7 linked regions of the Tribolium castaneum genome follow. Each later gene encodes a partner of the first gene's protein in a complex. Links are inferred from orthologs where the notes say so. Each region holds a gene or a part of one and is shown in the gene's direction. Other genes may lie near its edges.

Evidence for each region.
Region 2: MED19 (region 1) and MED7 share a complex: the UniProt entries of both Drosophila melanogaster proteins name them as parts of the mediator complex. The link is inferred for Tribolium castaneum from reciprocal best matches to the Drosophila melanogaster genes MED19 and MED7.
Region 3: MED19 (region 1) and MED21 share a complex: the UniProt entries of both Drosophila melanogaster proteins name them as parts of the mediator complex. The link is inferred for Tribolium castaneum from reciprocal best matches to the Drosophila melanogaster genes MED19 and MED21.
Region 4: MED19 (region 1) and MED31 share a complex: the UniProt entries of both Drosophila melanogaster proteins name them as parts of the mediator complex. The link is inferred for Tribolium castaneum from reciprocal best matches to the Drosophila melanogaster genes MED19 and MED31.
Region 5: MED19 (region 1) and MED23 share a complex: the UniProt entries of both Drosophila melanogaster proteins name them as parts of the mediator complex. The link is inferred for Tribolium castaneum from reciprocal best matches to the Drosophila melanogaster genes MED19 and MED23.
Region 6: MED19 (region 1) and MED1 share a complex: the UniProt entries of both Drosophila melanogaster proteins name them as parts of the mediator complex. The link is inferred for Tribolium castaneum from reciprocal best matches to the Drosophila melanogaster genes MED19 and MED1.
Region 7: MED19 (region 1) and MED8 share a complex: the UniProt entries of both Drosophila melanogaster proteins name them as parts of the mediator complex. The link is inferred for Tribolium castaneum from reciprocal best matches to the Drosophila melanogaster genes MED19 and MED8.

Annotation. Positions count from the first base shown.
Region 1 is NC_087395.1:19,591,557-19,594,215, reverse strand, and holds MED19 (mediator of RNA polymerase II transcription subunit 19), read left to right. Parts: upstream 1-1,170; 5' UTR 1,171-1,243; coding exon 1,244-1,424; intron 1,425-1,476; coding exon 1,477-1,733; intron 1,734-1,784; coding exon 1,785-2,060; 3' UTR 2,061-2,159; downstream 2,160-2,659. Other genes in the region: Ctl1 (choline transporter-like 1), read right to left, coding at 1-138, 187-353, 404-786, 834-941; RNA-binding protein cabeza, read left to right, coding at 2,581-2,590. UniProt on the Drosophila melanogaster protein: Component of the Mediator complex, a coactivator involved in the regulated transcription of nearly all RNA polymerase II-dependent genes.
Region 2 is NC_087402.1:3,009,666-3,012,254, reverse strand, and holds MED7 (mediator of RNA polymerase II transcription subunit 7), read left to right. Parts: upstream 1-1,361; coding exon 1,362-1,553; intron 1,554-1,600; coding exon 1,601-2,074; 3' UTR 2,075-2,089; downstream 2,090-2,589. Other genes in the region: RING finger protein 141, read right to left, coding at 1-156, 202-341; small ribosomal subunit protein eS10, read right to left, coding at 508-543, 593-1,033; cass (apoptosis inhibitor 5), read right to left, coding at 2,320-2,393, 2,442-2,589. UniProt on the Drosophila melanogaster protein: Component of the Mediator complex, a coactivator involved in the regulated transcription of nearly all RNA polymerase II-dependent genes.
Region 3 is NC_087401.1:8,393,464-8,396,172, forward strand, and holds MED21 (mediator of RNA polymerase II transcription subunit 21), read left to right. Parts: upstream 1-1,382; 5' UTR 1,383-1,570; coding exon 1,571-1,612; intron 1,613-1,660; coding exon 1,661-1,876; intron 1,877-1,926; coding exon 1,927-2,100; 3' UTR 2,101-2,209; downstream 2,210-2,709. Other genes in the region: FAM21 (WASH complex subunit 2A), read right to left, coding at 1-7, 53-248, 392-584, 632-951, 1,003-1,122; Set1 (histone-lysine N-methyltransferase SETD1B), read right to left, coding at 2,250-2,423. UniProt on the Drosophila melanogaster protein: Component of the Mediator complex, a coactivator involved in the regulated transcription of nearly all RNA polymerase II-dependent genes.
Region 4 is NC_087401.1:17,495,447-17,498,122, forward strand, and holds MED31 (mediator of RNA polymerase II transcription subunit 31), read left to right. Parts: upstream 1-1,130; 5' UTR 1,131-1,569; coding exon 1,570-1,582; intron 1,583-1,625; coding exon 1,626-1,733; intron 1,734-1,790; coding exon 1,791-2,119; 3' UTR 2,120-2,176; downstream 2,177-2,676. Other genes in the region: uncharacterized protein LOC656943, read right to left, coding at 1-38, 91-299. UniProt on the Drosophila melanogaster protein: Component of the Mediator complex, a coactivator involved in the regulated transcription of nearly all RNA polymerase II-dependent genes.
Region 5 is NC_087394.1:35,203,805-35,208,101, reverse strand, and holds the start of MED23 (mediator of RNA polymerase II transcription subunit 23), read left to right. Parts: upstream 1-1,497; coding exon 1,498-1,911; exon of another isoform or gene 1,912-1,956; coding exon 1,957-4,297. Other genes in the region: stress-associated endoplasmic reticulum protein 2, read right to left, coding at 10-93. UniProt on the Drosophila melanogaster protein: Component of the Mediator complex, a coactivator involved in the regulated transcription of nearly all RNA polymerase II-dependent genes.
Region 6 is NC_087399.1:8,918,250-8,922,355, reverse strand, and holds the start of MED1 (mediator of RNA polymerase II transcription subunit 1), read left to right. Parts: upstream 1-1,306; 5' UTR 1,307-1,448; coding exon 1,449-1,467; intron 1,468-1,530; coding exon 1,531-1,670; intron 1,671-1,719; coding exon 1,720-2,435; intron 2,436-2,486; coding exon 2,487-2,718; intron 2,719-4,106. UniProt on the Drosophila melanogaster protein: Component of the Mediator complex, a coactivator involved in the regulated transcription of nearly all RNA polymerase II-dependent genes.
Region 7 is NC_087396.1:15,801,447-15,805,280, reverse strand, and holds MED8 (mediator of RNA polymerase II transcription subunit 8), read left to right. Parts: upstream 1-1,226; 5' UTR 1,227-2,310; coding exon 2,311-2,829; intron 2,830-2,875; coding exon 2,876-3,241; 3' UTR 3,242-3,334; downstream 3,335-3,834. UniProt on the Drosophila melanogaster protein: Component of the Mediator complex, a coactivator involved in the regulated transcription of nearly all RNA polymerase II-dependent genes.

The DNA of each region.
Region 1 (2,659 bases):
AATCATACTTAATATCAAAATAAGTGTACCACAAAAACGCTGTGCCCAAGATGCTCGCAATTGTGAACAAAATCATGATTATGTACGACACTAAATGGGCCAGTAGATGCAGTATTGAGATAGTTAACAGCGAAAAAACTGAAAATCAAACTGTACAAATTTTCCTGTGACTATCCAAAGGCTCACATAGTGATAAAAACGTTAAATAAAGGATTTCCTTCCAGGTGCTGTATATGTCGCCCAAAATTTGCTCAAGTGTGTCCCAACTGTTCAAAGCTTCGTAAAAATTGCTCAAAATTGCTTCGCCTGCATCTTGGAATGATTTAGGAACGCAACGGTTGAGAACTGGGGTGCTTTAGAAAACCAGTTTTATCTTTATAGAACACAAGTTTAGGGGAAATACCTTTCGTAAATAGGAAGTGCCGGACACGGCCCTAAATAGCTACTCAGAATCTCCTTATTCGCAATACTCTTGTTCTTAAAATCGTCATAATTAAAATCATATCTACACAAACTGACGCCAGTTTTTTGGTAATATTTCTGGATATCTTCAACTTTTTTTAACGTCTCCGTGGGACACTGTTTTACGCATATCTTCAGCGACTGTTTCAGCTCTTTAATATCGTAGAAGAGCAAAAATTGTTTGTCTGAAGTGTCCAGTCCTGATACTTCCAAATTGGACATTTTTCTGTTATTTTTTGTCCCGCAAATGTTCCCAAATGAGTCATAGCCGTTTATAATTCTGATGGGATTGCCGTAGACAAAGGAGAACGCCGCAATTAAAACCTAAAAATATTAATGAGGCAAATTACACACCAATCAAGGTTATTTACCATTAGTAACCAAAACGCAATGTACAAACACAACCAAAACACGTCGGTGCACCCTCTCTGAGCGGGTTCTTCCCGCTCGGGCTCCTTTTTCGACTCGCAACAACCCATTTTCGTTAACTCAAACCACTTTTTTCACAAAAGACGCATGTTTTCACTGAGAAAACCAGCAATGTTTTGGGGGCGGCGGCTTCGACGCGGTATCTTAGCAACAGTAACAATTGCACAATCTCGCCAACCAAACTAAACCTAAAGTTACCAAACTAGCAGGGTTCCAAACGCCAGACCGTGAAAATTACCAGGGTAACAATTGATTTGTTTGTTTGTTTGACGATTTTGTGTTGGTACGTGATGCTGAAGTGACATTTCCCATTTCCAGCTGCATCGTTGTTGCAAAACGATGAAGTTGTAAGATGATGGGCGATCAGTTTCGTAAAGTGGAACAATATTCGCCCAAATCTTCGCCTAGAGGGGCTCGTTCCCCTGTCGTTTCACGTCAGGATTCGTCAGGAACATTAAAAACGACAATTTTGTTAGGAAAGAACCCTTCAATTGTCCCTAGTGGACCTTTCTATTTGATGAAAGAGCCTCCAGGTAAGCAAGACAAGGCTTGAAGTCGTTTAAATCACGCGGACGGTGGTTGTAGGAGAGTCGGAACTAACAGGAGCGACGAATTTGATGGCCTATTATGGCCTTGAGCACTCTTACAGCAAATTCAGTGGGAAAAAACTCAAGGAACAGTTATCTTCGTTTTTGCCAACTTTGCCTGGCGTTATTGACTCTCCTGGACAGCATGATAACAGTTCGCTAAGATCAGTGATTGAGAAGCCTCCAATTGGGGGCAAGGAGTTGTTACCATTGACTAGCATCCAACTGGATGGGTTTAGACTACACCCTGGGGCGGTAAGCTTGATAATTTCCCTTTAATGTGTTTTGTTGAGTATTGGATTTTAGCTCCCTGAACAATACCGCTACGCAAATGCGGCGCCTATGAAAAAGCATAAAAATAAACACAAAAAACACAAACACAAAGATGGGGGGCTTCCAAGTCAGGAGACTACCATTACCGATGCTGGAAGTGATACACACGAGAAGAAGCATAAAAAACAGAAACGACACGACGAAGATAAAGAACGGAAGAAGAGGAAAAAGGAAAAGAAGAGAAAAAAGCAGAAACACAGTCCTGAACACAGTGGGGGCCTAACGCCCAGCCAACACTCAAATTCGTGAAGATCTTTGGATTGTGAATAATTCCAACTTACCCTAGGTTTAAGATCTATTATTATTTATTGTTTATTATTTTTGAAAATAAACAGACTGTTATTTTTATTAAGTTTTTACTGGTCGTTTTAGCAAAGCTAGCACCACTAGATTAATTAAATTCATGATTATCAAAAAATAATAAATTTGAGGGCCTACAAATGCCCTTAGGCCGACCCTGAACTCTGATAAGGTTTTCAGTGCTGCCACAACAAGTTCTCCAGCTGTGTTTCATACAAACTTATTATTACAATTTATATCCATCACAAATGTTGTTTTTAAGTACCTCGACGGTATTCAAGTGGAACTGAGAATATAAAACAAGGTTGTTTGTGGAAAATTTAATATTTTGGCGTGCTTTATTTAGTGTGTTTTTTTGGTGGGGTTGGCAGGGCTGTTAGCGCCGACCAATCACAAGCCCCCAATCCGTAGCGTCTTTTCCCTCGCATCCATTTTCCTCCTGTTTGTTCGATTATCCCAACGGTAGAAGATGGGCGATCGTAAGTATCCCGATTTTTAAAAAATCTCGCTCATCCCTGTACGAAATCACCTCGTGTATTCAAATTTCG
Region 2 (2,589 bases), on another chromosome or scaffold:
AGGTTTAACAGTCGGTACGTACTCACTTTTTGAGTATTAGAGTCAATTTTAACACAAGCTATTTGCACCGTAGCTTTCCAGAAAACTGTAGAATCTGTCCCTTTCTTTACAGCAAACACTAACTGTTTCCCCTCGGAATCTAAACGCTGTTTGGAGCTAAAATAGTACAATGAATAACAACCACACAGGAACTGTTATTACAGTTGGTTGAGTTCCCCAAGTATTGTCAAAAATTTCTCGTAACTAAGAGTATGAATTTCTTCAGAGAGTAAAGTAAGCACGGGCTCATCCGTGATTATATCGTTAAAATACTCGTGAAATTGGGAACTCTGTTGTCCCATTATTACACGAATTAATCACATGTATTATTGTAAACAATTTTGACAAGTGTCACAATGACGTCTATAATGGCGTCCTCTATACAGGAGTAAAGGGAATTAATAAAACAATTAACGATCGACAAGGTTTTATTTGCTGATCATGCCTTATTGTAATAAAAAACTTAATTTATTGGGGCGCTTTTCCTCTCCCAAAGCCTCCTCTCTGTAACAAACCGTGGTAAAAATCGTCAAAAACCCCTACCATAACTTACAAATTCCAAATCAGCGGTGCCAGCCCCCACATCAGCCTTCTTATCAGATCCAGGCCCCCCGGGAGTCCGCCTGTATCCGGCACGGTCTTCGGCAGGCTTACTGGAAGTTTCTGATTTGAATGGCGTGGGACGAGCACGCGTTGTTTCGGTCCTAGCTTGTCGCTTGAGCGTTGAGGGCACAATTTCAGGCGGCAAATGCAAAATGGTCCTCAGGTACTCAATACCGTTATTTGTCAAATACCAGTAATAGTGCCGCCAGGCGAATTGTTCCTTAACGTATCCCTTCGATTTCAAAGACTGCAAAGCTTTGATCACCTGCAAGTTGGGAATACTTTCCAATTCGGGGTGTTTAGGGGCATGGGTGTCTTTCTTAGCCACCATGACGCCCTCCTTGAAGAGGTATTCATAGATCGCGATCCGGTTCTTTTTGGGCATCAACATCCTAAAATCAACCGTGGTTGAGGTTATAAAACATGTCAAACCCTAACGTGAATTAAACTCCACAAAAAGGGCTAAGATTCACGATAAAGGAAAAAAGAATGATCTGTGATTGATTTTCGTCAAATTTATTACAAAGATGATTAAGATAAATACGAATTTTAAAAAATAGCTTACTTGACGCGGTATTACCACAGCTGTCAAACTGAAAAAGGAACAGGCTTGCCAATAAACTAGTAATTTTAGGTTTTTGTGATGGTTTTTATGTAATTTTGACATTTGTCGTTTGTCAACAACTGTATTTTTCTTAATTATTGTATTAAAATAAATAATGGCATCGTCGGAAGCGATCCAGGTGAGTTCCCTGCCACTGCCCCCCATGCAGTACATCAACCACTACACGGACGAGATGATCCGGCGGGGGCGAACCCCCAGGCCGCCGCCTCCGATTCAAGACACGTATCATATGTTCGGCAATGCCTTCAATACCGAAGAGAGCATAATCAGGCCTTTGGAGAGTCAAGTAAGTCCCTAAATACGTCCCGTGGTTAAAACTAATAATTTTATTAGGGAATCAAACGTTTGTATCCACTCCACTTTGATAGACGAAGGGAGTTGAAAAAATTAAATCAGTCATTGTTGGCCAATTTCTTGGACTTGCTAGACCTACTTGTGAATTGTCCCGACTCGCCAAAGCGGGCTGAGAAAGTCGAAGATTTAAGTCTGTTATTTATTCACATTCACCACTTGTTGAACGAATTCCGGCCACATCAGGCTAGGGAGACGCTTAGGGTCATGATGGAGTTGCAAAGGCGACAAAGGATTGAGACCGCCAATAGGTTCCAGAAGCATTTAGACAAAGTTATGGAAATTTTGCAACAAGCGATTCAAAACCTGCCTGAACCCATGGAAGTTGACTCAAAGTTGCTCGTAGAAACCGAACTTTTAGTAAACCAAGAGAAGGCTTCAAAGGAGGACAACAAATCAGACCCGTGCTTTATTTTGGATAGGATTATGTGCAAGATTGTGGATGATATGCAATAAAGTTAGTTTTCCAAATGTTTTATTGAACTCTAAGACAATAGAAAACATATTCTGTTAAATTTCTAGAGGTTTTACACAAACTATTAAAACCAGCACACGTTTTAACTTGAACTAATTAAAAAAAATAAGATCTAGGGTATTTACAACACAAGCGGGTTGTGTATTGTTTTGATAACTTACTAATAAGCATTGAACATAATGATTTGAATTGCATTTCTGCAATACTGTTAGAAGGGTGATTGAAATTAATTTCTCCAATTTCTGCCCCTTCCTCGGGAGCCACGGCCTCTCGACCTGTTACCTCGTGAACCCCCACGATCTGAAACCAATCATTAAAACAAATAGACATTTTTCCCATAAAATTTACCGTATTGGAAGTTATTACTAAACTTTCCACTAGGTGGTGTATACAATTTAACGTTGTCGCCCGAACGAGCCGGTCGGGTCTGTTTAGTCCCTGTAGAGCCATTATCGAACGTGATAGGCACATGTCTTTTTTGCCCACTTGTGGCCGG
Region 3 (2,709 bases), on another chromosome or scaffold:
AGGTTATCTGGAATTAGCGTTTAGTCTGCGGTCCGCTTCCAAAAACAATTACCGTATTGTGGCGTTTTCTGGATTGGCCGTCGATTGACGTACTCTTGATCAATCACGTTCCCCAATTTCGCCGCCAACTCTTCGGCAAAGTTGGTAGTTGGTTGCACCGGAACTGAGTTTTCACTATCACTCGAATTGACGAAATTTTTCGGTTCAGTTCGCAAGTCCTCAGAACTGGTATCAGAGGTGCCCTTGATCTGGAAAAAGAACCAGATATTGCCCATGGCGACTGGATCGCGACTAAACAAAAAATTCGGTTGGCCGGTTAATAGACCAATAAAATTATGATAATGAATGGATCAAGTGCAACTCAACCAGTGGAAAAACATGTGTAAAGTACCTGTGTTCTGTCGGGAATAATTGGCAACTCTGATTCTGAGTCGCTTTCACTGAAATTATCTGAGACTTTCTCAGTTTCGCTATCGCTGGACGAGTCCTCCAGGCCCACGTGCCACGTCTTTTGCCACTCTTCTGAGCCGATTACGTACGGAAGGGGGCGCTCCAGGTACAAGTCTTTGGGTCTGAGGACAAAACTGGAAAAGACAAACTAGTTTTTGTAAATTATTTAGAAAAAAATTACTTGGGCAAGTCGATATCGTCGTCTTCACTGTCACTGACCGACACCTCAACCTTCTCAAAATACGTCTCCAAGACCTCCAAACCCTTCAAAGCCGCCAACCTGATTTCCTCAGTCTTATCAACCTCTTTCTCCTCGGCTTTCGCCTCAACCGGCTCCTCCAAAGTCTCATCGTCCTCATAAACCCGACTTTCAATAAACTGGCTGTTTCGCAAACTTTGAAACTCGTTTTGGGCTATATTCAACTGGAGACTTGTCTCAGACAGGGAGCTTGTCAAATTTTGCAAGTTATTGTTGATTTCGGTTGTTCGAGTCAGGAGATTCTAAAAATTGAACGCTGAAACGGTTCAATGTGGGCCAAAAATGCGAAATACGTCTGCAAAAGCCTTGAGAGTGTTCAAAAGGGCCACATCTCCGGCTAAATTCCAATTGTCCGAATTTTGGATTATTTCGTCCATGGACCATGGTCGCTCCCACGGCTTGGCCCCGGACATTTCTAAAGCGCTGAACAGGCCTGTAATTGCTATTTTTCATTAATAATAATAATAATTTGACATCTGTCAAAAACTGACTTGGGGACTTTCAACTCGTGGGTTGGCTATTACTCCCCGGTTTTGCGTTATTATTTGATTAAATAAAACCAATTAATTTGTAAATAAAACCGTTCTACTATATTTGAAATCAGGCGTGATAACTAAAATGTAACTTCGGCCCGGTGGGATTAATTTACGCAGACTTTACCCAACCAGATTTGGGTTGGCAATCATGTGTGTTTGTTTTTGCAAGATGTCATTCACCTTCTAGTATTATTCTAGTTATTTCGTACGAATTAATATATTTTGTCGCATATTAAACCTCGGGAGATAACAAATTATCATCAGTGTTGGTTTTTATGTGATTTCGGGTCTTATCACTTGTCGGTGATTGGGTAACATAACCTCAATGGCCGATCGTTTGACCCAGCTCCAGGATTGCATAAATCAGGTAATTCCCCCTAAGACTGTACCACTAATTGCATTCGTGTTGTCGCAGCAAGCCGAGCATTTCTGCAACAGCATTGGGATTTTGCAACAGTTCGCCCCTCCTAGCAAATTCCCAAACTTCGACAGGAGTGGCTCCCAAACCCCCCAGCAACAGAACCAAGAAGACTACGTCCAGTTATTCACAACGTTGATTGCGCGCTGTGCCAAAGACATAGATACTTTGATTGAATCGCTCCCGAGCGAGGAAAATTCAACCGAATTACAGGTACCTATCTACAATGACTTGGTCCGACCGCGGACTAAACACTGTTTCAGTTGCAAAGCTTGCGAATTTTGGAATCAGACAATCAAGAGTCTGCTGAGCGTCTCGAGGCTATAGTTCGTAAAGGTCAGGATCTCTTGGAGCAAATCCAGGCGGCGTTGAGCGACATCGCCCAATCACAGCTGGACATGCAGCATTTGACAAAAGCGGGGAGTAAGGATAGTTAAGTGAGCTGTTAATGAATTTTATTTGCGGTTGTGATGAAAAACAAACACAAATAACCATGTACTATTTACAGAAACATATATACAAATAAAAAAGATAATTTAAATTTTATATAGTAACTAACTCGGTTTAAAGTCTGTCTTGTTTCCCTTTAATTAAGTGTTCCTCGACACGTGGCCGCGCCACACAGACACGGGATTTTCTCGTCCTCGATCGGGAATTTGTAATCGTAAGTAATTTCCTCGTTCACACCTATGCTCTGTTTCGAGTAGATCACTATTTTCTTTTGCGACTCGATTGTGATGACTTTGGCGTAGCAATTCGGCTGTAAAAATCATTTTTTCGGGTTATGGAAGACTGTCGCTTAGGAAACGAAACGAGATACAAAATCGTACCCAAAATGTAAAAATGAGGGCGCTTTGAGCATTATACTGTCTCGGCGCCAAGTCGTTTTAAATTAATTTAAAAACAAATGGACAAATCAAGAACACAAGAAAAATCCTACGAAGAAATTTATGGAGAATAAAATTTTCTATTACACGTACACCAAGAATCATTTAAAAACACATTGTACCTACACCGTTGAAAATGGAAATATGTTGTCGCAAACT
Region 4 (2,676 bases), on another chromosome or scaffold:
TTTTCGCCGTCGGGTTGGTCACGCAACTTATCGAAGACCTAGCCAAAAAGGCGTGTGATTTAAATTTTGACAAGTGATAGACATACGTACAGGACAATTGATGATATCTTCAAGTCTTTCGTTAGGTTTTTTCCCTTTTTTTGGACGAACTAACAAATAAATTGTTGATAATTGAGGACATGAGCGTAGTAATTTCTCGATTAGTACTTTCCCCATAAAACCAGTGGCGCCCGTGATGAGGATGTGTCGGTTTTTGTAGAATTCCGCAACCGCTGATTTATTGCTCATTGTTGAGAAACCTCAAAAACGATTAAGAATTGATTTATTTGCGTGTTGTGTAACGTGCACGCCACTGGTGAAAAAGTTAGGTAATAGGACAGTGGCGTACAAGGAAATGTCAAACACGATTTCGGCAAATATTTGATTGTGGACACAGCACTTGTGATAAGTAGCCGCGTAACAATACACGAGTTTTTGCACAATTGCTTTAACAAATAGAAAAAAATTTCAAAATAATGCAGTGAACTTTTTATGAATTTCGTCAATTCTCATTAATACATTAATAAAATAATAAGTAATGTGTTTCCATTAAAATTAGCAATGATAAATTACTGATATTTACTAAATTAAACAGTGAATTAATTATTGCATCAAATTTTTTATAAAACAAATGATCGAAAAATGAAGCAAAATCATATAAAAGGGTGACTTTGTTTTTTATTTTAATTATGATTACCAAGAAACTTTAATTTAATTAAAAATTGTAAAAATCGAAAAGCATTTTTTTAATTAATTCTTTACTTAAAAAGGATTTAATAGTAATAATAACTGATAATAATTAAACCGTAATTACAGTAAATTAAAAAGAAATTATGATTTTTAAACATATTTGAGACTAAAAACGCTAATCAGGCGTTAAATAGCTGATTAAATAATTAGAAAATTGTTAAATTAATTAATGAAATAATTAATGATAAGATAATTCAAAATTACAATAAATGAGCCAAAAAAAACGCGATTAAAGTCCTCACTTTAAATTTTTTATTGATCCCGCAAAAGTGAAAAGAAAAAATCTCGACTTACTGAAAGGCAGCAACAAAACAATAAAATTGTTCACACACAAAGCAGCAATGTTTTGTAGACAAAGCCGCAACCCATCCACCTGTTTTCATACAAATACCATTACCATATACCACCACCATGGGAATTTCCATGAAAATTCCTCGTGTTGGGGATCATTATGTTAGTCAGTTATTTTCTTATTGGTGGTCAATTTCCCGCTCAATTAAATAACTGGGCTACTTTCACCAGCGATTGATTTTTCCACACGCTTCTTACAACATGTACCGTTTCGATCCGATTTCTTATTATTGAGAATTGAATTACGCAAGAATAATACTTTCAATAGAAGAACAAGGGAATTTGCCAAGCCTCTAATGGTCGCTTTTCTATTGTTGTTACTTGTGACATTTTAAGTGCACGCTCTTACAACACGAACTTGCATTTATCCTAATTGATTAATTAAAAAAATTCGAATTCGAATCACGCGCCATTTTATGCACAACAAACATGGCTGGGAAAGGTAAGCGTCCTTTAATTAAATTTAGGTAATAAACAAGTTTTAGGCTGGAATTATATGTCAGGGGCTCCGGAAACCGACGATCAGCAAAGACTCCGCTTCCAGATTGAGCTAGAGTTTGTGCAGTGTCTCGGAAATCCTAATTATCTCAACTGTAATGACGTAACCTCACTTTTTCGGGAGGGAAAAAATACAATTTTTTGCGTTTTAGTTCTCGCACAGCGTGGTTATTTTAAGGATAGTACGTTTGTTAACTATTTGAAGTATTTGCTTTATTGGAAGGAGCCCGAATACGCCAAATATTTGAAATATCCAATGTGTTTGTATTTTTTGGATTTGTTGCAATATGAACACTTCCGGAGGGAATTGGTGAATGCTCAGTGTTCGAAATTTATCGACGATCAACAACTTTTATTGTGGCAACACTACACCAGGCGGAGGAGTCGTTTGTTAACCCCTTCGAATGTTAACGGGACAGGTGAACAAAGTATTAACCAGAATAGCCAAAGTAACGGACATTTGAGCAATAAAATCAGCTAGGTAGGGTACAAATGTGATTTTTTGGTGGTTAAGTGAAATAAATTATTTTTTTGTTTAGTTACATAAATCACCAAGATCCCACCAATTGCACCAAAATCCCACCCATTTCCATCCAAATCACAATTGATTGGCTGTCGCTGTAATTAAGGTAAGTTCCTTGTTTTTCCTTAAAAATCGTAAAAAATGCAAAATTTGTAACAAACCTCAAAACCAAAAGTCCCTGAACCCGCCCCGCCAAATTCAAATACAAGTTCCGTTTCTCGACCCAATTGGACTTAACTGTACACGAAATCCGCTCGACTTTCATACACCAAAAGTGTACTTGGCTTACACGATTTGTTTATTAATAATTGTTGACATGGTTCTATTAACAATCAAATCAATCATTTCGTTTCGATGCGTCCAACAATTAAAATGAATTTTTTCAAAATAATTTTTGTCGTTATTGTGATAATTTTGTGTGCTAGTGATGCGAAAATACGCAAGAAAAATACCAAAGGTTTGATTTTGCGGCAAAAAGAAACGAATGCGATTAATTTTCTCAGGTAAAAAAATAT
Region 5 (4,297 bases), on another chromosome or scaffold:
CGTACTCACCGACGATTTGGGCACATTCCCTCGCAAGACCACGTTCTTGCTGGCCTTTTCGTTGGCGAAACGCATCCGCTGTTTGGGAGCCATCGTTCACAGGAAAAAAATACGGAAAAGTGGAAATAATTCAACAGAAAAACATACACACGCGTTTTTGACACGTCCGTGCCTCGACACTGGCCCGAAAAGTGCGGAGAGGGGCAAGGGAGGCGCTTTTTTGACGTTTATTTGACACGTAAGATGAAAATGCGCATGCGCCACGGACGCGTGGAGAATTTCAAACAAGGGAGGGAGTGCTAGAAATTTCCAATGGGTTCATTCAATTTGCAATAATTTATGATAATCAAGTATATGCCTAGTTTTCTTGGTCATTTTCCTATCTTCTATGCATTTTTTTCAAACATCAAAAACAACGTTGAATTTGACTTTTTACCCTGATTTTTAACTCAGATTTTTCAAAAAACAAAAATTTTAAGGTGCATTTATTTCGGCACAAATTTTACATAGATATTGTAAAGGTTTCGTTACTTTTTTGTCAGTATTTTATGCGGTAAATTATGGGAACGTCGTTGAAAGTTACGGATCTTCTGGGTGTGTTTGCGGGAGCGATTCGGTTCGTAATTAAGGACAAGCGTCTCAGACTGTTTCTGAAACTATTCATTCTTGAAAAAGTCCTTTCATTCATGGCATTGGCATTAGCCATGTTGTTGAGGAGCTTTAGCGACATTTCAGGGATTTTCAAAGAGTGGACTTCGGGATTATTATCCAGCCAAGTCAATAATTGTTTCATAACTTTCACCTGTTGGTCAGGAGTGACCTAAAGAAGGATAATTGCACGTTTAATTGCAACAATTAAATTGTACCTTTGTTAGGGCTTGTCGAATTAAGAATTCATCTTTCGTCGACATCCAAATAACGGGAGTTCTTTTGCTGCAAAGCCACATGTAGTTTGATTTCCCAAAAATACTTTCCGCACATTTAATTTGTTGAGCGTGCATTAAAATTTGCACCTAGGGAGAAGAAACAAATAAATTAAAACGATTTAAATGAGTGACACCTCACCTGTTCTATGAACTGTGAGTTCATATCGAAATGTGAGACAAAAAGAACTCTTTAAGCGCATAATGAACGAGACGTGCGGTAATAATATTGCCTTTATTAAAAGATAAGCAAACAAATTTTCACGTATGAAGTGGATATGCAAATAAACGAATAGATTCGGGCTGATATGAATTTTATTACAATGTGGCTAGGTATGGAATAATTTAGATTGACGTTGTTTGAGAGTTGATAACATCTTACAACGCACGCAATTATTTATTATCTCTGAGGATTCACCCAGCAAGTCAAAATAATCGAATACGGTTCTGCAGTGTTAGGCGCTTGTATAATGTGTTGCCTAAACATGTAGTCGGCCAAACATAACCTACCGTTATTATCCCATTCAAATAACCACAAAATAATGTTTTCGCCTGAAAAATAACCGTGGACACGATGGGCGAGCCACTAACAAACGTCCTAACCGACATTCTCAAAGTTGAAGGCATCGAAGAAGCCTTTAGTTGCTTTCTAGTGCACCGCCCCAGTGCCGAAAAGGAAAAGGTGGCTGTATGGCAACAAGAGTTGAACACAGCCCTGCGGAGCATCCCCCAGGAGCAGCTAGACACCGCCCTTCGCCAGTACCTCAACACTGCTGTACTATGTTCCCAAAGCAAGCTCCAGCTCTTGATGGAGCTCCTGGAAAGTGTCGTGCGCAACGGTACCATTGGGGCCCGTATCGTGTGTGAGGTGGTGATGAATTTCGATAAACTACAACACACCAATGCGCGGTTCTGGATCGAGTGCTTTAAACTCGTGCGGAAAATTATAGATTTGGTTGAATACAAGGGCGTTCGCGAAATTATGAAAGTAAGTGGGGAATTGTTGTGGTAATTGTTTGATTGTTGATTGTAGGGATGTTGCGAGAAGGCGAAAAGTCTCCCCTGGCGCTTGAACGCGGGCTTGCAGCCCCAAACCCAGGCTCTTTTAAGCGTCGCTGAACGAATCATGGACAGGAACGCGTGCCTCCTGCCTGGCTATCTCCTAGTGAACGAGCTCCAGAAGGCCTACCCTGACTGCCCCCACTGGCGCCTTGCTGCCCTCTTCTCCGATTACGTTGGCAGTTTTCGGGCCTGTGCCCAAATGGTGGCTATCGTAGGCCAGGCGGAAATGCGGCCAGTTGTGGAGCACAGCGGCTGTCCCGAACACTTGGTCAATCCCTGGAAACTTGACCCGTGCACGTTGCGATTCTCGCTTAAGGGCACTTTACCGTACGCTCCCGAATTACTAGAGAAGCAAACCGGTTTATTACGATACGTTCTGGAACAGCCGTACAGTCGCGACATGGTGTGTGGCATGTTAGGGTTGCAGAAACAGCACAAGAGACACTGTGCCGCCCTTGAGGAACAACTGGTCGAGTTGGTGATTTTGGCGCTGGAACGCACGGAAAATGAGGGCGATGAGAGCGCCACTCAAGGGTTATGGCTGCACTTGTCGTCCCAGTTAATTTATTTTGTTCTTTTCCAATTTGCGAGTTTCCCAAACATTGTTATATCGTTGCATTCGAGACTGCAAGGGCGCGACTTGCGGAGAGGGCGCGACCAACTCATGTGGGTCCTCTTGCAGTTTATTTCCGGTTCGATTCAGAAGAACCCCCTCTCGAATTTCCTCCCAGTTTTGCGGCTTTACGAACTGTTGTTTCCGGAACAGGAGCCCCCTTTGCCCGTTCCGGACTTCAACCAGCCCCAGTGTACGAGACAGATGGCAATGACGTGCATTTGGATCCACTTGACTAAGAAAGCGCAAGCCGAAATGACCAACTTGACTTGGCCAATTCCCGCCAAACTACGCAACCATCATGATTTCCTCCAACAGTTGGTGCCCCCTAATAACACCGTGTTAGCGATGGGAAATGACTACAGAATCGCCTTGTTGTGCAACGCCTACTCAACGAACCCCGATTATTACAGTAAGCCAATGGCAGCGCTAGTTGAGACGATCCAAGGGAGCCCCAAATCAACAGCCCCACCTACCGCGCCTTTAAGCATGGCCGTCTTGGACTCATTAACTGTGCATTCGAAAATGAGCTTAATCCATAGTATTGTCACACACGTGATTAAACTAGCACAGGCCAAGTTAGGAATGCCACTATCACCAGCTTTGGTGGAAACGTACAGTCGCCTGTTGGTGTACACCGAGATCGAATCGTTGGGCATCAAAGGGTTCATAAGCCAGTTGTTGCCAACCGTATACAAGTCACACGCTTGGGGCACCCTTTACACACTTCTGGAGATGTTTAGTTATCGGATGCACCACATCCACCCCCACTACCGTGTCCAGTTACTCAGCCACTTGCATTCGTTGGCAGCGGTGCCGCAAGCCAACCAAACCCAACTGCACTTATGTGTCGAATCGACCGCTTTGCGTCTAATCACGGGGCTGGGCAGTGGCGAAGTTCAGCCCGAACTGAGCCGCTTTTTAGCCGAACCCAAGACGTTAATTTCGGCGGAATCGGAAGAGTTGAATCGGGCGCTGGTTTTGACCCTAGCTAGGGCCACGCACGTGACGGGGGCCGACGGCTCGTGGTGTCACGAGTTGCTGGCGACCATTGCACAAAGTACCCCCCATGCGTGGGCCCCCCACACCCTCGAATGCTTCCCCAGGGCTCTGGCCGAGTTTTTCACGCAACATGCCGTCCCTAAAGAAAACAAACAACAATTGAAGAAAGCAGTGGAGGAGGAGTACCGGAAGTGGTCGTCCATGAACAACGAAAATGACATGATGGCGCATTTTGGGGTTGCGGGAGCGCCCCCACTTTTCCTCTGTTTGTTGTGGAAAATGCTCCTCGAGACTGATCACATCACGCCAATTGCCTACAAAATCCTGGAGAGGATTGGGGCAAGGGCGCTTTCGGCCCACTTGAGGAAGTTTTGTGATTGTCTCGTGTTCGAGTTTAGTAACAGTCCTGGGGGGCAACATGTTAACAAATGCGTGGATACGATCAATGACATGATCTGGAAGTACAATATTGTGACAATCGATCGGTTGGTCTTGTGTTTGGCGCTGCGGACGCAGGAAGGGAGCGAGGCTCAAGTCTGTTCGTTCATCATCCAGTTGGTGTTGCTTAAAGCTACAGAGTTTAGGAATCGGGTGCAGGATTTCGTCAAAGACAACTCGCCCGATCATTGGAACCAGACCAACTGGCACGAGAAACACTTGGAGTTTCACCGGAAATACCCCGAGAAGTTTGCCCCCG
Region 6 (4,106 bases), on another chromosome or scaffold:
CTTAATTAATTTCTGGAAATGTTTATTGAAGAAGAATATAAATTTTGTTATAAAATTCAATAAAACTATTCGTAAAACTAAAAGGATGAATTTTTATAACTCATTAAACTAATGTATTTACGTGATTTCTGGCAATTTTGAGTTATTTAGTTTATGCTTGTATTACAAAGCAACTTGTTAAAAAAAATAACTACTACAATTTTTTTTCTTTTAATTTTATTACACTAAATCTGCCACTAGCTGTTTCAAAACTATAAAAACAACAACGACGCACTTTACCAAATATTTTTTAAATAAGGTTGATAAAATTGTAAAATAGTTATTAATGATTAGATATCTCATTGAAAGTATAAATTACATTAGTTATTATTTTCTTCAACTGCATGAATAATTTATAACAGCACACATCACAGCAAATTTTGTGAGAAAATGTGACGTTGACGTTTTTATAGTTTTGAAACAGCAAATACAATGGTATAAAGGGGACCAAGGTTCTTCTTTAATATCAGACGATACCTAAGGTGACGGGGGCTATTATTAATTTATTACAGAAATAAAATGTAAAACACCCTTCGTGTAAATTATTTTTTGTTGCATTTGGTTTTTGAAAGCTTTTCATTTTATCTGAATCACATGGAGTAAAATAAAGTAGTCAATCTTGCTTGATTTCTTCTAAAACTCCCTCATATCATGTTTTAACGGTTTGGAAACATTTTTTGTAAAAAACATCTATCTAAGAAATTTTGAAATACAGTAAACTAAGCAATTTTATGTGATTTTTGTTGAATGCCTACAAAATAATAAAAAAAAACATTATGTGGTATAAACTAACGCACAACGTATTTGATTTCTTTATAAAAAAAAAAACGAGAATAAACTATTCAAAATTTTGGAAATGTGCCTATGGTGTACTATTATCTTAGTTGTGATGTGTTAGCGGGCATTTGCTCCAGTTCTGGGGGAAGATGAGGAGATTATCGTGTCAGCAACTTCTTGCGATCTAAAAAGTTGAAAAGTTGTAGCGAATTACGGCTTTAATTGTCATTGACGGATCTAATACGAAATTCGTTGGTAAAAAACGCGGATTAATTCCGGGAGTTTGTTTTACGACCACATTTCATTAAAATATTTGCGTTGCAATAAGCACAACATATGTGCCACCAATTCAAAGCACTCCAAAGTATCAAATCTTGATAAAGTTGAGAGTTGGTAAACACAAATGAATGGAAAAGCACTTGAATATTTTTATTGTTATTGTTATTATCAGACACGAGTTTGAATTGGGCGCCGGTGGCGTAGCCAAATATCCCTAAATTGGGGAAAGTAACGAAACTGTCAAGTTTTTGTTTGGTGCTGATGTATGTTCGAAAAATCGGTTTTTTTCCCTTAATTCGCCCCAAATAGAAAATGTTTACGAACATTTAACGTTAATTTCGCCCGAACTCATCATGAATCGCGTAACAAACGGTGGGTTGCGCGCCCCAGCCAAGAGTTTGACTTTTGACATTTACAACTTTGTTTACTTTTAAGGCAATTTAGCGATGCCACCGTCCGTTGTGGACAAATCCAAAGACTGGCAGTTGGAGATATTGATGGAGAAGCTGCGCTCGAAGGCGTCGCAGTACAAAAGCTTGACAGAGATATCCAAAAATGTGCGAATGGCCATGCTTGTAGGTTATGTCATGTCTGGCACTGCCTCCATTGATGCCCTACTTTCAGGACAAGCGCTACGCGTTGGACAGCGTCGAGAAGAGCCAGCACCAGAAATGCCTCGACACTCTGCAGCACTCCATCAAAGTGACGTCCTTGCAGAGCATGATCGAGCGGCTGGAGAGCTTGACGCGGCAGCTGGGGCTCAAGTTCATGGTGGGCCCCTCGGGGGTGGAGCTCTTCATCTCCTCCGACATGTTCTACCTGGAGATAGTGCTCGACCAGACGGGGGCCGTCAAAGACGTGAAAGTGCACCATGACAGTAAATTGGAGCAACAGAGTTGCGCTGAGCTCGTCAATTGTTTATCTAGTGGCGATTTTGCCGATTTCACTGCCCAGTTGGAAGGTTTTGCCTCGATTTACCAGCTCAATGCTGAGAAAAAGGTCAAGTGTAAGGCGTTCACAGCCTTGCAGTCGCTGGAGTCTGATTTGAGCACCTTGGCTCACTTGCAGTCTTTCATGAAGGAACCTTTCAACCTGCTGTATAAGTCTCCGGTTGGGGTGCTGGAGAAGCGCCGAGGGGGACACCCCATGAAACTCACCTATTTTGTCTCTCCTTATGATTTATTAAATGTTGAGAAATGTGATATTGAACCTATTACTGTTGATACGATCGTTAGTAAAGCGCTGGGGTACAGTGTGACGGTGTGTATGGAAGGGTCCGCTACACATAAGTTGCAAACGACCACTCTCATCACAGTTAATAGGAATATTAACGGGAAAAGGTAAAAATTATTAAAAAAAATTTTTTTTTCTTTGAGGGAAATTTATTTTAGTACGCCGTCTTTTTCATCGCTAAGTAGCCAAAATAGTGCAGCAATTCCGGCCTGTTTTGTCCTCAAATTAAACAAACCAATGCCAATGTGTGTCAATTTAGTTAGACAAATTCAACAAGTTACTGAATTGGATACTATAGAACAATCAGCAACTCATCCGTTACTTAGTTTAATAGTACATCACGCCAGTGAAGGGAAAATGGAGTCTGGGAACAATAAGGGCCTTTTTGTGGTAAGTGGTTGGCAATAATATTTATAAAAAAATGGTCATGTTGACTACTGATTCTCCTAGTTTGCGGTACAAACTTTTCGAGAGCCAAAAAATGGTAAATAATCAAAAATAATCTACTTAATGAAGTTCCTCTGACATTAAAAAATTCTAAAATCAGCAATTTTAAACATAAATACAAAATGTTTCTTACAAAATGATTTTTCTTATGTGTTTTTTTGCTCTATAATTTTGTTAAATAGAATTAGATATTTTATTATTATTATATTTTTTATTTTTTTCTTCAATCAAATTGTTTATTTTTTTGTTATTTCTCATTTATTGTCTGGGTCAAAACCTTGATCAGCTTTGCTGTCTTTTGGTCCACTTTGTGGTAGGAACAACTCGTAGAAAATTTTAATTTTGTTATCGTATTTTTTTTCTTGTTGTAATTAATTATATTGTAACTGTTTTACTGCCACAAATAAATTATTATTATTATATTATTATTAAAAAAACAATTAATTTCACGTCAAAAAATAGTTAATTAACCACCTCAATTCTTGATATATAAGCAGCCATTTCATTTTAACGGACGGGACACTATAGATTTTTTACCAATTTTTATCACCAGTATCAGTAGAAGTGAATTTTTCTTTATAGGAACTTAGTACCAGTCAAACAATTTGCAACCTACAATAGTCGGAGCCACATTTGTAAAATTTGAAATATGAGCAGGAAAAAGAATACAAATTGGTGACGGACGGGACACAAAAAAGACCTTACATTTTTATCGCTAAACAATCTTTATAAAATTCTGTTAATTTAAAAGGCACTAATTCTAAGAATTACTTTATAAATAAATGGTAGATTTTGTTGAAACTTTTGAAACCACGATTAATTTACTTTTTGTTTACACATGGCGGATGGGACAAAAAAATCTTGTGTATGAAAATAACTCTAAAAAAATTATTTAGGCAGGTTTTAATTATTAAAGATTTTAACAATATCAAAATTAGACTGGAAATTAGAAACTTATGTCCTGTAATTGTTTTTTTTAATTAATAATTTGAATATTTAATAATATATAAATTAATGCTTAGTCAAGGCATCCCTAATAATTTCTTCGAACCTTCTCCCAAATACAACGCATTCTTTTTCTGGAGTTTGAGGGGGTTTCAAATTTGAAAAAAATCTCAAAAAATTCACACGTTATTCACAACCTATCCTCAGCCTCTCTACTAAAATTTAATTAATTTTAAAAATCTTAAAAATAAATTAGTTTTAGATTCACAAGTTTTAATAATAACACTAAATCTAAATGTGAAAAAAATATGATTTTTTTGTTTTTATTTTTTTTTATCAAATCTTTTCTTTTAAGATTAAGGACCAGTTTCGCATTATAATCCCTT
Region 7 (3,834 bases), on another chromosome or scaffold:
CCGAAAATGACAAAATTTACACTTTTATGAATTTTGTCTCCATCTCTGCCCTTTCAGAGCGTTATGATAGGATATTTAGGGTCGAAATCTCTACCTTTATTATGTGCTATTGCCAGATAAGGACAAAAGTTCAGAAAGTAGGGTTAGGGTGTATTATGATCTCTTCTGAAGTGTTAAATTTTAACTTTAATGTTTTTTGTGTGCTTTCCTGCTCTTCTAGAGCGCTATTAATTATTATTGAACATGTTTAAGGACAGACAAATCTACCTTGAGTCAACGACATAAATTTCAGTGAGATTTATTGAAAAATGCACTTCTCGTGTCAACCTTTTCATGAAAAAGGGTGTTTAAACGTTTATAAAGGGTATGTTAACGTGTGTTGTTAACTTTACCACGTAATAAAACATAAAGTATAACTTGGTAATTTTTTACTTTAACTACTTCTGGATTTTCAAGCTGAAACTTACACCAAACGATTCCTCTGAGTGCCCTGATGACCGTACACTATGAATTTTCTTGTGCAAATTGAAAATAACATTAGAAAAATAATTTTTATTTTCACTCACTTTTTACTTGAATCGCCATTTTTGTTGATTTTAATTTGAGTTTATTTTTTATAATATCACGTTAATTTTTATTATTATAGTGGATCAAAATGTCGTCTTTAGGTTAGACTATTGCCTACTATCGGTTAGGAACAACATGATCTCCAAAAATATAACGTAGTAATGAGCTCCAGAAGGTTTACGTAGATAGGTGCGTTTTTCCCAAAAGTGAGTTTTTTGAGATCGAACCGCAAGTGAGTCACACTGCGAGGAGACTCCCATAGACAGAAGTTGCAAACATAAGGTGCCAGACCGGTGCCAGTTTGGCTGATTGCAAGTATGTCTTTATCATCGATTCGGTGACGACTATTAGTTTCGTAAACTTAATGGATTTAATAAATATCTTTAACATTAAATGTGATCGTGTCATGTTGGGTAAAATTCTTCCATCTGTGCTGTCTGTGCATCCACCTTTTCAAATACAATTAAGAAATTTTCATAATAATTGTATTTGATAAGGTATTGGCATCATTTTGACGTGAGCAAAAATTAAAAAAATATAAAGTAATCGGAATTATTTTAAATTCGCGCCATTTTTAGTACGTGATGATGCGGCTAGATGGCTTCAGCTAGGAATTCATTGCCAACCATTATGTTCCGCTTCTATTAAAGTGTTATTCTAGGGCCACAGCCATTGCCGTCTCGAACTCCAGGCCGTCAGGTTACTAGCTTTTGTTTATTGTGACGTCATCGTAAGAGTCGTGACATTTGTTCGCATCGTTTGAATATATTGTACTTTTTGGTGTTTTTGAGAGTGTTATTAAGTAATTTGTTGTTGTTTACGAATTTGTTGTTTTGTGGTTGCGTTGTAGGGAATGAATTTTGTGTGTTTATAGTCTTGTGTGACGTGATTTTGACAATTATAGGTTAGGATAGTTTTGCATTATTTTTGTTTATAAATTTGGTTTTATTGTTTTTAATCGTTTAATTTGGTAATAAATAAGCAGATAAGGCATATTTCAGTCTCTAAACCTAACATACTTAATCCTATTGCATTCCTAATTTTAGAAAATGCCGAATAAGTGTTGTGTTCCCAATTGTGTGTCTAACATGAATGGTCCTTATGTACCTATGTTTTCCTTTCCCAAACAAGAATCCCTGCGATCATTATGGTCAAGAAAGATACCCCGAACTAATTGGACTGTTACCAAGAACAGTCGTGTTTATGTGAAATATTTTCGGGATGATTTTATAATAAAATATCACGAAGTGACTAGAGATGACGTAAAATTCTTCGTCATATTCTTATACTTTCGATCACACTTTTACGACTAATTTAAAACATATTTAGCGAATAATAACATGTTGCATTCCATAAGAACCTGTGTTAAAACTTGGATAAAACGGTCGTCTTTAAGTCGCGGTTATTCAAAATTTAGGCCCATAAGGAGAATTTTTGTATTAATAGACGTAACTTTAGACGTTTAAGTACGGCTAGATGGTTTAAACTATCAAAAAATATAAACTTTAATATATGTTTTTCGGGTAATAACAAACGGATAAGGTACTTTAAATCACAACGTATGTCACTATAAAAATTATAGTTGACCGTTCGTTGACCACATTTGCAGTATCAGGATTCTTTAGATACACTTTTCCGTCGTTTCTTGCATAAAACGTTGGACGCAACATAGTTAAAATTAATTTTTTGCAAAAATTCAGAAAGTTAGGTTATGATCATTTAGACTCTTACTGTGACGTCACAATGTCAACATGCAGGCCTGGAGTTCGAGACGGCAATGCCACAGCCGACATACCGTCATCGTGGTTAAGGTTATGTTTTTGTAAACAGCGCCAAAAATACAGCAAAATGCAACAACGGGAAGAAAAACAACTCGAATCGTCTCTCGATTCCATAATCCAGCGTGTCAACGACCTAAAATCATCGATAGCTTCAATGATTTACAAGGTGGAGAATGAATATGAGACCCTCAACTGGCCCACATTTTTGGACAATTACGCCCTTATGTCCGGCCAACTCACCTCCCTTTCGAAGGTTTTAAGCCACGACAAATGCCCCACCCTCAGAAATCTCACAGTACTGCCCCTCATGTTGTCCCCCGAGCGGGACGAACAATTGGCCCAAATGACCGAACACAGAGTCACAACCTTCGCCCATGATTTAGTCCCAGATTATCTTCGAACCAAACTAGAACCGTTGGCGGAGAATAAAATGATGCAATTGGAACACAAGGCGTCAACTTTATCGTATGAGAACGCACAGGTATGTTAAAATTTTTGGTAGAGTATGTTTCAACGCAAACTTTCAGAAACAAATTGCTGCGTATCAAAAGGTTGTGTCCCACGTTTGGGAACTGGTGAGTAAAGCGAGGGAGGAGTGGGAAGTTGAGTCTTCCGCCAGGGGAAGTACGCAGCAGAATTCCAGTGTGGCTGATACTCACTCGCTTGTGGCGGCTGTTGGAATGGGGAAGGGACTCAAGATGGGGGCGAACCCTAACGGTCAGCCCAATCCCACGTCGGGAGGGATGATGGTGCCTCCGCAGGGGCGCCCAGGGGGCACTCCCGGGCAAGGACAGATGCCCCCCAGCACGCAAACCATGACGATGAATAAGGCGCCCTCTGCTATTAAGACTAACATCAAAAGTGCCACCCAAATACATCCATATGGACGCTAGTGAAATAGTTTTTAATGTGTACGGAGATATATTTATTTATTAAGATATAATCTTACAAAAATAACTAAATATAACAGTGGAAACAAAGATTAACACTTTGTAGCGTAATGAGTAGATTATAAAAAGCATTAATTTTATAGACTTTGAAACTATACTATCAACAAATGGTTGAAGTGTGGCTGGTCGGAACGGGTGGCTTTTCCAATAAGTACAGCGGAACTTGAACATTTTCACGATGTATGTTAGCACATGCTACGCATTATATAAAATATAAAACATATAACATTTAGAATACTTGGGACCCAGTCAAACAAAAATTAACAACTTAAAAAAATATTTTCTACAACGTAACGCGGGTGACTGGACCCTGTTTACGTATAATACGCATTTAAAAAAATATAACAAACAACAAATAAAATACTCTTGTGCATAAATTGCAACTATTCTATGGTCATATATTTTCCTTACATGGCAAGAGAATTTTCCTAAGTTTTTGTTCCCTATATACAAAGTGGTACAATAAAAGAATTCAACTCTTTATACTCTCTAATTTGTTAATATACTTTTGTTTCTTAAAATACTGACCAACAATT